Mus musculus: one gene and its partner. The protein of the gene in region 2 purifies or fractionates together with the protein of the main gene of each other region. This does not show direct contact. Links are inferred from orthologs where the notes say so. Each region holds a gene or a part of one and is shown on either strand. Other genes may lie near its edges.

Region 1 (4,255 bases), on a different chromosome or scaffold from region 2:
TTACGCCTTTAATGCCAGCACTCTTGGAGATGGAGGCAGGCAGCTTTCTGAGTTCGATGCCAGCTTGATCTACAGAGCAAGTTTCAGGACTGCCAGGGTTGCACAGAGAAACACTTGTCTTGAAAAACAAACAAAACCAAGACAACAACAACCAGAAGCAGCCAGGCGTGGTGGTCCATGCCTTTAATCCCAGCACTCGGGAGGCAGAGGCAGTCGGATTTCTGAGTTTGAGGCCAGCCTGGTCTACAAAGTGAGCTCCAGGACAGCCAGGGCTACACAGAGAAACCCTGTCTCGAACCCCCCCCCCAAAAAAAAAAAACAAAAAAACAACCAACCAGAAGCATCTTAAGGAAGGGTATACAATGCAGATGTCATAGCAACAGGATTCCCAGGCAGCCAAGCACACTGCATCTGCGCCAGGAAGCTGTAGTCTGACTCCTGAGCCTCTAGGATGATGCCATACACGTCTGTCTTCCTCAGTCAAATCTGTCTAGAATCCCAAAGACAACCAAACGTTCTTTATTATGGTTATGATTATTATTCTCTATTGTGAGTGCACACATGTGTAAATGCATACCGTGAAGGGAGGTCGGAGAAGTCTGTTCTCTACCACCACGTGGGTTCTGGGGACTGAATTTAGGTAATCAGATTTGGTCACACTCCCCCTTGCCCACTGGGCTGTCTTGCTGGCCCCTCCTAGGGGTTTGTTTCTAGGATGATTCTAAATTTCATCCGGTTGACAAGATGAGCCATCAGGGAGGCTGGAGAAATGGCTCAGCAGTTAAGGGTCTTACTGCTCCTGCAGGGGACTGGAGTTCGGTTCCCAGCACCCACTGGGGCAGGGGGGGCTCACAACCACCTGTAACTCCAGCTCCAGGTGACCCAACCCTCTTCTGGTCTCCAAAGGCACCTGCATATACGTGCCCATACAAGATATGCAAATAAAAATCTTTAAAAATAGGAAAAATAAAAGATTGCTACAGAGACCGCTGAAAAATGGCGAGGTGCAAAGCTTTCATCGTGTTTTTAGTTACCTGTGTGCTCAAGAGAAGATGCGCTGGTACCCCAAGCTCCTCCCCAACCTTTACATCCCTTCTTGCTCCACTGGTCCTCATCTAGAAGGCCTCATAAGTCCGCCAGTGTCGGCCCACCCGGGGGTCCTGCAGCAGCAGCCCACTTAGACTCTTAGTCCCATTCAGTCGGTACCGGGGAGCCAGCTACAGGTGGCTCAACTCCGGGCGCGGGAGCACGCGCCAAAACACTCAGCATGGACGCCTCGAACAAGGGTTCTAAACTGACGCATGCGCACGGCTCGCCCTCAGCCTTGCCTGCGCCTGCATTAGGTCATCCGAGCCGCTAGGGGGCGGGGGCCAGGTGCTTACACTGATTGGCTGCGGCTGAGAAATCCGGAAGTGGTCGCGCTTCGGGGCTCTGTTGGCGGAAGGAGACTGTGGGTTGGTGTCGGGGAGCGAGAGCGCGGCGCTAGGATGAACGCTCCTCCGGCCTTCGAGTCGTTCTTGCTCTTCGAGGGCGAGAAGAAGTAAGTGGAGGCCGGCGGAGGCGGGGACGGTTGCATAGGAGCCTGCCGGCCGTCAGCTCCGCTGGAGCGCCGCACTGCTCCTGTCTGGGGAAACCGAGGCGGGAGGCGGGCTTTGCTTTGAGTCTTCCGTGCTGCTCAATGCGAGTCTGCCCAGCTTCAGGCAGCGGCGCGAAGCACTGGCGCGTGCATGCATTTTGCAGTGGGAAATCGGAGGCTCTGGGACATGGAGTGTCTTGCTCCAGACACTTGGTTCATGATGACAGCTGTGAAGGGACAGAGACACAGCTCTCTTACACTCCTCAGCAACCTGAGGGTTTCTCCTAGATTTTCAGGGATCCCGACTTAGGCCAAACCCGGGTTCGTGGCTCCACGCTAAAAAGAATTTCAGGACTCTTCGGTTTAGTGAAGCAGGATTGGTGGGTTTTTAATTAAAGATACTTTAATATGGGCTTAAGCAGGAGGGTTCAGAGGAAGAGAGCGCTAAGAAAGTAAGACAGACGCAAGTTGGGTCTGTGTGCATTCAGAGAGCAGGGGGAAGTACTTTGCACTCGAGTGGCTACAGGTTTAGAGATTAAGCATCTAATTGTCTTTTGGAGGTAGGGTTTCTCTGTGTATCCTCCTTGACTGTCTTGGAACGAGCTTTGCAGACCAGACTAGCCTCAAACTCAGCGATCCACCTGCTTCTACCTGGGATTAACGGCCTGAGCCACCGGCTCTGGCTTTATGTAATTGTCTTAATGGTAGCCAAATACACTCTTTTGATGACTCAAAGTTTGCTACGAACCCTTCTCTCTTGTGTAACCCTTCTCTCGTGTGTGTGCCCCTTCTTGGAAGTCAGCTTAGTCTCTATCTCAGTGGGAAAAAGGTATGGAGGTGTGCTAGGAATCGTTTGTGAACCCCAAAAGATCATTAAGGAGCCGTTTCCATTAGGGTCTCTTTATCACAAGCTCGGGCTTGGGCTCTCCTCCAACCCAACCCTGACACAACAGGACAGGAAGAGAAGGCAGAGCAGCCTTGAACCCAGGACAAGGTTTTCTAGGGAGTGGGAGTGACGGGGTATGGAGCTTGGCAGGTATCTAACTGAATGTCTGTTGTAAGCTGACAGGTGGTGCTGTGAAGGGAGATGAACAATCACAAACTATCTGAAAGTAGATCTGAAGCAACCAGACTAATCTTTGATTAACTGTTGCTAGGGAGTAACTCTGGGGTATGGGCCAAGGGACAAGCCGTGAGGTCCTTCCTGGTACTTGGTTGCATCTTGGGTTCTGCTGTAGGTCAAGTTCTCAGGCTTTTTTTGCGGGGGGGGGGGGGGGTTCAAGACAGGGTTTCTCTGTATAGCCCTGGCTGTCCTGGAACTCACTTTGTAGACCAGGCTGGCCTCAAACCCAGAAATCCGCCTGCCAATGCCTCCAGAGTGCTGGGATTAAAGGCATGCACCACCACGCCCGGCTTTTTTTTTTTTCTTTAAGATGGAGGTAGCAGGTCCCAAGATGGAGTAGATTTGGCCTCTCAGAGGTATACCCCAGTGGTAGATTGCTTACCTAGCATGCACGGGGCTCATTTCATCCCTGTATCAATCAGTCAATAAATAATGAAGTTCTTCAAGATCCTCCGAGTTTGCCAGTACAGTGTACACTGCAGACCTGTAGCCGACACTGCTCATTCCTAAGAGGCAGGGTTTTGTGATTGACATTTGATAGCTACTTCAGCCTTCCTTGGGGGCATATTCTCAACTGAGAGCCCGGTTGTTGTCCCATGAGCAAGAGCATTTGGCCATCTGGAAAAGGTTCTGGTTGTCCCAGGCACGTTGGTATTGGCAGCGGGTGGATAGCAGCAAGGGATGCTGATAACAACCCTTGGTGCAGTAGACAGGCTCCCAGAAAAGGACAATCAGGTCCAAAACATCCATGTTCTGGGCTGGCAACATGGCTTGAGCGCAGGCACCCGCAGGCAAGCCTGATGACTTGAGTTCAGTCCCTGGGACCACTATGGTACCAGGAGAGACCTGACAATTACAGGTTGTCCTCTTATCTCAGACAGGCGTGGACAAAGTAAGAAAATATTTGTGTACCGAGTTTGAAAAAAGGAGCAATCCTTAACTGAGCGGTGGATTTTAATCCACCTTTAATCCCAGCACTTGGGAGGCAGAGGCAGGGGGATCAAGGCCAGCCTGGTCTACAGATCAAGTACGAAGAAATGTAGTCTCAAAAAAAACAAACAAAAACAAGGACTGCTAAGTCCATGCTCCCTGGTATATAAATAGGAGGCCATCACAGGGGAGAGGCGGTTCCTTGTTAGCATTTATTGATTGATTGATTGTCATGCTGAGGACTTGTGTGTAGATCTGAGTTCTGCTTCCAGTGTTTCTCCAGGGGCATGGGAAGTGGAGACAAGCACAGTGTGTCCATTGGCAAATGAGATTCTACCTTAAGCAAAGAGAAAGGCCAGGGTGATGGCTGAGGTGTTTCTCTATCCTCCTGCCTCAGCCTCCCAAATTGCTGGGATTACTGGTCTGAACTACCAGGCAGGCCTACCTTGTTTATTGTTTGGACGGTGGGAGTGGTGGAGATGAGACCCAGAGACTTACACATGGGAGGTTAATGGTTGGCCACTGAACCATGCCAGAGCTCTGAGTCCTTTACTGGTGAGTAGACTGAAAAAGGCCTCCCAGGGCTAGACCTGTAGCTCAGTGGTTGAGGGCTTTGCTTAGCACGC
Region 2 (4,581 bases):
GTCAGAGGCTGTGGACTTTAGGTCAGCTACCTGGCACTGATTTTTTTTTTAAGCCAACAGCTAAATTTGTTAGCCATAATTGCACACTCATAAAGGTAAGCATTACATGACACCATTCTCTGTCACTTCTCTCTGAAGAGGGTTAATTTTAGTGTTCACTCTTCAACTCTGTCCTCGTTTTGTATTTTTTCCATGAACATCCTAAATATGTGTCAATTAGCAAGTGGTGGAGCTTATAACTGGGCAGAGCAAAGCACAGATCCCTGCACAAACATGCAGCTCTTACCTGGGCCCTGAGCAATCACGGAAACAGTGCAAATGTCCAGGGACCCTTCAATACCACAGCAAGAAATGGAGGACAGTGCTCCAGGCTGATTCTACAAAGAGATTCTGCAAAGCCAGCCCCTGGCACATATACCTAGTTGTTTTTGTGGGTGGTCACTGACAGTGCATTTTGGGAAACACTTCCCTCCTCACTCAGAGACAAGTTCTCAACTCCATCCACCACAATAAGGTCTCCCTTTGAGATATACACTCCAAGCAACTTACCCACAGGCCAAAGAGCATAGTAATACTTATGACCAAGGGAAAATTCAAGAAACTAATGTTTGGGCCAGGCATGGTGGCATATACCTTTAATTCCAGCATTTGGGAGGTAGAAGCAGACAGATTCTCTGTGAGACTACACTGGTTTACATACATAGTGACTTCCAGTGACTGTCTCAGAAAAAAACAAAACAAAAACCTAAAATTTGGGCTGTCTACCTTCCTTCTTTTACCCACAAAGGGTCTTCTAGTCAGACCTTACCTAACACTTGGACCCACCTGATCTATAGCATCATGATTACCTGTCAAAGCGCTTGCTGGTCCCAACACTCTCACATACAAGCAGTCAGGATCTCTGATAAGATCTCAAGCAAAGGAGTTACACAGGAGTTAAAATTTCCACTGTGGAAGAGATGAGCAGTGGTGGTGCAATCGTTTAATCTGGAAGAAGAGGCAGGAGAATCTCTGAGGCCAACCTAGTCTAAAGAGCAAGTTCAAGGATAGTCAAAGCTACATAGAAGAGGAATCCTTCTTGAAAAACAACATCAAAAAATTATACTGTGTACACTATGGCTTCAGCAAAGATGCAAAAGCCATCAAGGCTATGTTTTCCTATCTCTTGTTTTTACCTTTTAATATCCTAATATATCAATCATGTGATTACAGTCAGTAATACCAATCACTGGCAAACAAAACAACAACAAAAAACCCAACAAAACCTTAAACCAAAAAAAGAAAAAAGAAAAAAATTTAAAAAGGCTTTCTAGAAGATTTTTATCTAGCCTGTCCCTATTCTACCTCGAGAAAATGTCTACAGTATTTACTAAATTACTATCAAGGTGATCTTAAAGACCAAGAAGAAAATAATTTTGGATCCAGCAAGCAGATCTCATAGAAACTAGAGCACCTCTATTTCTACCAAGACCACACAAACAATGTGAATTATTCTGAACACACCACAATACAGTGTACATTGTACATTGCTAAGAGTAACTGGTCAAGCATAGTCAAGGGAACTCAAAAGACTCAAACCTCGGTTACCTGTCCAAGCCCAAGATGATTTTTCTTCCATCCCGAGCATATTAAAAAGTGATCTCAAAGGCCACTTCCTGGTCTCCCAGCAAACACCTCATATCTGAATGCCTGTGCATCTTCCCATGGCCCTGCTCCTAACAGCAACAAGGATACCCGCCCCCTACACTGCCAACAAACCTTTGGGAAAAATACAAGAACAGGTGAAATTAGTCTATGCTCACACAGGAAGAAAAAGATGTCCCTCTGCTCACAGGACTCTTAGCAGAGGAAAGTGTGACATAAAGTAACCCCTTACAATTAAATCTTGACAGGCTAGGGCCCAAAGCACCTCAGGAGGGGCAAGAGAGAGATGGAAAGAGGACCGGAAGGTAGGAATAAGAGAACAATCAACTATGACGGGCAGTAACTCAGTACCAAAATCCCATGCTTTAGCTTCTGGTCAGATGCGCAATGGAGCATTTAGGCCAAGAAAGATGACAGGAAGGATCCCACTCTCTGCAGGGTCGTCTTTTCTAGAAAGACCCCAGGAAAGGTTTGTCCACTATCAGAAAAAAGAGGAGACTCTCCAGGCATCACAGGTAGACAGACTGGGGGCAGAACGGGCCTAGGGTTCCCTCCTAGCCAAGAAGGAGGTTCAGCCAGGAGACCGAAGGGGAGTAAAGGCCAAGACTCCGGAGACGCGGGCTACTCTAGTCATCGCGGAGACACTAGTTGCTTCCCACCTTGCCCCCGGCAGGGAGACCTTCCCGGGGGGTTCTCAGTTCCCAGGGTTGAGGTGAGGCAAGGAGGCACGGTGGGGACCACCAAGGGCGGTCGGGCTGGGACAACGGAGAAGAACTAGCTCTGATCAAAGCTCCAAACGCTCCCTCAGTCCAGGCCGCGTGAAGCCTCGGCCTCAGGTACCCTCAGCTGCCGGGCAATCCGCCTTGCCTGCGGTCCCCGGACCCAGGAGAAAGAGAGACCGAGATGGCAGTGGCTGTGGCGGGCAGATCACCGCCTGGAGAGAGCCCCTAGCCGGGGGCGCGTCGGAGGGGGAGGGTCTCGACACATGCGGCCTCGGTCCCCGATCGCGAGGCAGTCACTTACGTTGCTCTGGGAGTCGATGGCCTGTAGCAGCCGGTCCCTCATCTGCTGCGGAGACGCCGGAGCCGCTGTCATTGCCTGGGCGAAGCGGGGGGGAGCGGCCGGGCCGGCGGGCGGGCAGGCTGAGGAGGGGGAACGCGGGTCAGTCACTCGCCGGCCTCCGGGAACGGAGCCGCATGTTCCCCGCGGCGCCGGAGGAGGTCAAGGCGCTCGGGGAGATGGCGAGGACGGAGGGAAGCGGAGGGGACCGGAGCTCAGGCCCCGGACCACCGCCGCCACCGCCGAGCGAGGAGGAGGAGCCGACGGAGGAGCCTCCGCCACCACCGCCGCCGCCGCCTCGAGAACCAAACTCCAGTGAGCTGCCCCCCGCGCTGAGCACTCTGGGTAACCCGCGCCGCACGCAGCGTCGGCGCCACGCTGAGGAGGTTGGGAGATGGGGCGGGTGGAGACGCCGGGTTTGGGAGGGTCCGGCTCGTGAGCCCCTCCTATTGATTGTGCGCACGCGCGCGCAGGCGCAATTAGCAGGTCCTGCCGCCTGGTTCCGAGGTCCGACACAGAGGGCCGTTGGGAGGCAGTTGGGCGTGGCAACGGACGCTATCTGAAGGCCACGCCCACTCGGGACTGGAGGGATGGGCTTCCTAACGGAAGCGCACCCTTCAAGTCCTGGAACACCGACTCTATCTTCTGACTGCTTTGGGGTTGCGGAATGGAAAGACCCTCCCCCGGATGAGGGCCTCCTGCGTTTAGAAACCAGAGGATTGGAGCGGCCATAGGTAATCTGAGGAAGGCAGCGGTTCCCTGCGTTTAGACTCGTGCCTCGAGGAGCTCGGAGGAGCTCCGCACAGCCTTCTCCGCTGCAGAGGCCCCAGGCGCGGGTCTGCAGGGCAGTGCGTGTCCCCATGTGACCCGCGTGCTGCGGGGACCTAAGGTCACGTCTGGGAGCTGCCACCTCTGCAGAGGACGCAAGTCTGCAAGGCCTGCGCGACGCTGACACCTCGGGTCTGCATCCGTGCGGGGCTGGAACTCAAGAGGAAGCACCGCTTTTGTCGCCTTCCTAGAGGCGGGGGGGGGGCGGGGGGGGCTGGAGGTGGCCAGCCTGTGTCTGAACAGCAGGATGCGGAACCGTCGCCCAGCATCTTCCCCTTGGCGTTCCGAGGGGACGGAGCGACCCCGCCTTTGCATCTCAGGTGATGGAAAACAGGAACGCCTCACGGGGGAGGAAGGGAAGCACCAAGGTCACCTGGAGTTTTAAGTCAAACCAAGAAACGAAGGAAGTCAAGTATAAAGGCTGCGGTCCTCCGTCCTTCGGTGACCCCTACAACTGGACAGATGGAGGGCGGGCTCCGAGTTTAGTGCACTATACGAAAGTGGCCTCGGGAGAAATAACTTCGTGTAGTGTTGTAACCTTAAAAATCCAGACATGAAACGGAAGGGAAACAGGTAATGAAAACCACATGTACTTCTGAGAGCTGCTCAACACCTGTTAATTTTAAATTTGTCATACTTCGGGGGGGGGGTACTGGGGGAGGTGAGGAACCAGGCATTTAATTCCAACGCTTGGGAGGCAGGAGGCTCACTGGAGTTCCAGGCCAGCTTGGTCTGCACAGTGAGTTCCAGATTAGCAAGGACTACGTAAGTAAGACCCTGCCCTTTTCTCCCACCCACCCAGAAAATAAATTTATCATGGCTGGTTTCTTGATTCTGCACATGACAGAAGGCTTTGCATTACACCAATAGAATGAACACGAACAAATACTTCTCAAATACACTCTCTTCCTGGCATGTGTTTGGAGCTCAGGTTCCAAGTTGGAAAGCAGCCCATTTTGAAGATACACTTAATCTCACCAGATAAGCAAAATAAACAAGGTCCTCCATCAACATTGGCTCTTAGTTTGGTGTTTTTTGGCAGAGTTTATG

Evidence for each region.
Region 1: the proteins of Med26 (region 2) and Polr2j purify together in Homo sapiens (affinity purification with mass spectrometry; 5 studies listed by BioGRID and IntAct, with this or other methods). This does not show direct contact. The link is inferred for Mus musculus from reciprocal best matches to the Homo sapiens genes MED26 and POLR2J.

Annotation. Positions count from the first base shown.
Region 1 is NC_000071.6:136,115,266-136,119,520, forward strand, and holds the start of Polr2j (DNA-directed RNA polymerase II subunit RPB11), read left to right. Parts: upstream 1-1,425; 5' UTR 1,426-1,487; coding exon 1,488-1,540; intron 1,541-4,255. UniProt on the Homo sapiens protein: Core component of RNA polymerase II (Pol II), a DNA-dependent RNA polymerase which synthesizes mRNA precursors and many functional non-coding RNAs using the four ribonucleoside triphosphates as substrates.
Region 2 is NC_000074.6:72,545,228-72,549,808, forward strand, and holds the start of Med26 (mediator of RNA polymerase II transcription subunit 26), read right to left. Parts: upstream 3,084-4,581; 5' UTR 2,740-3,083; coding exon 2,668-2,739; intron 988-2,667; exon of another isoform or gene 849-987; intron 1-848. UniProt on the Homo sapiens protein: Component of the Mediator complex, a coactivator involved in the regulated transcription of nearly all RNA polymerase II-dependent genes.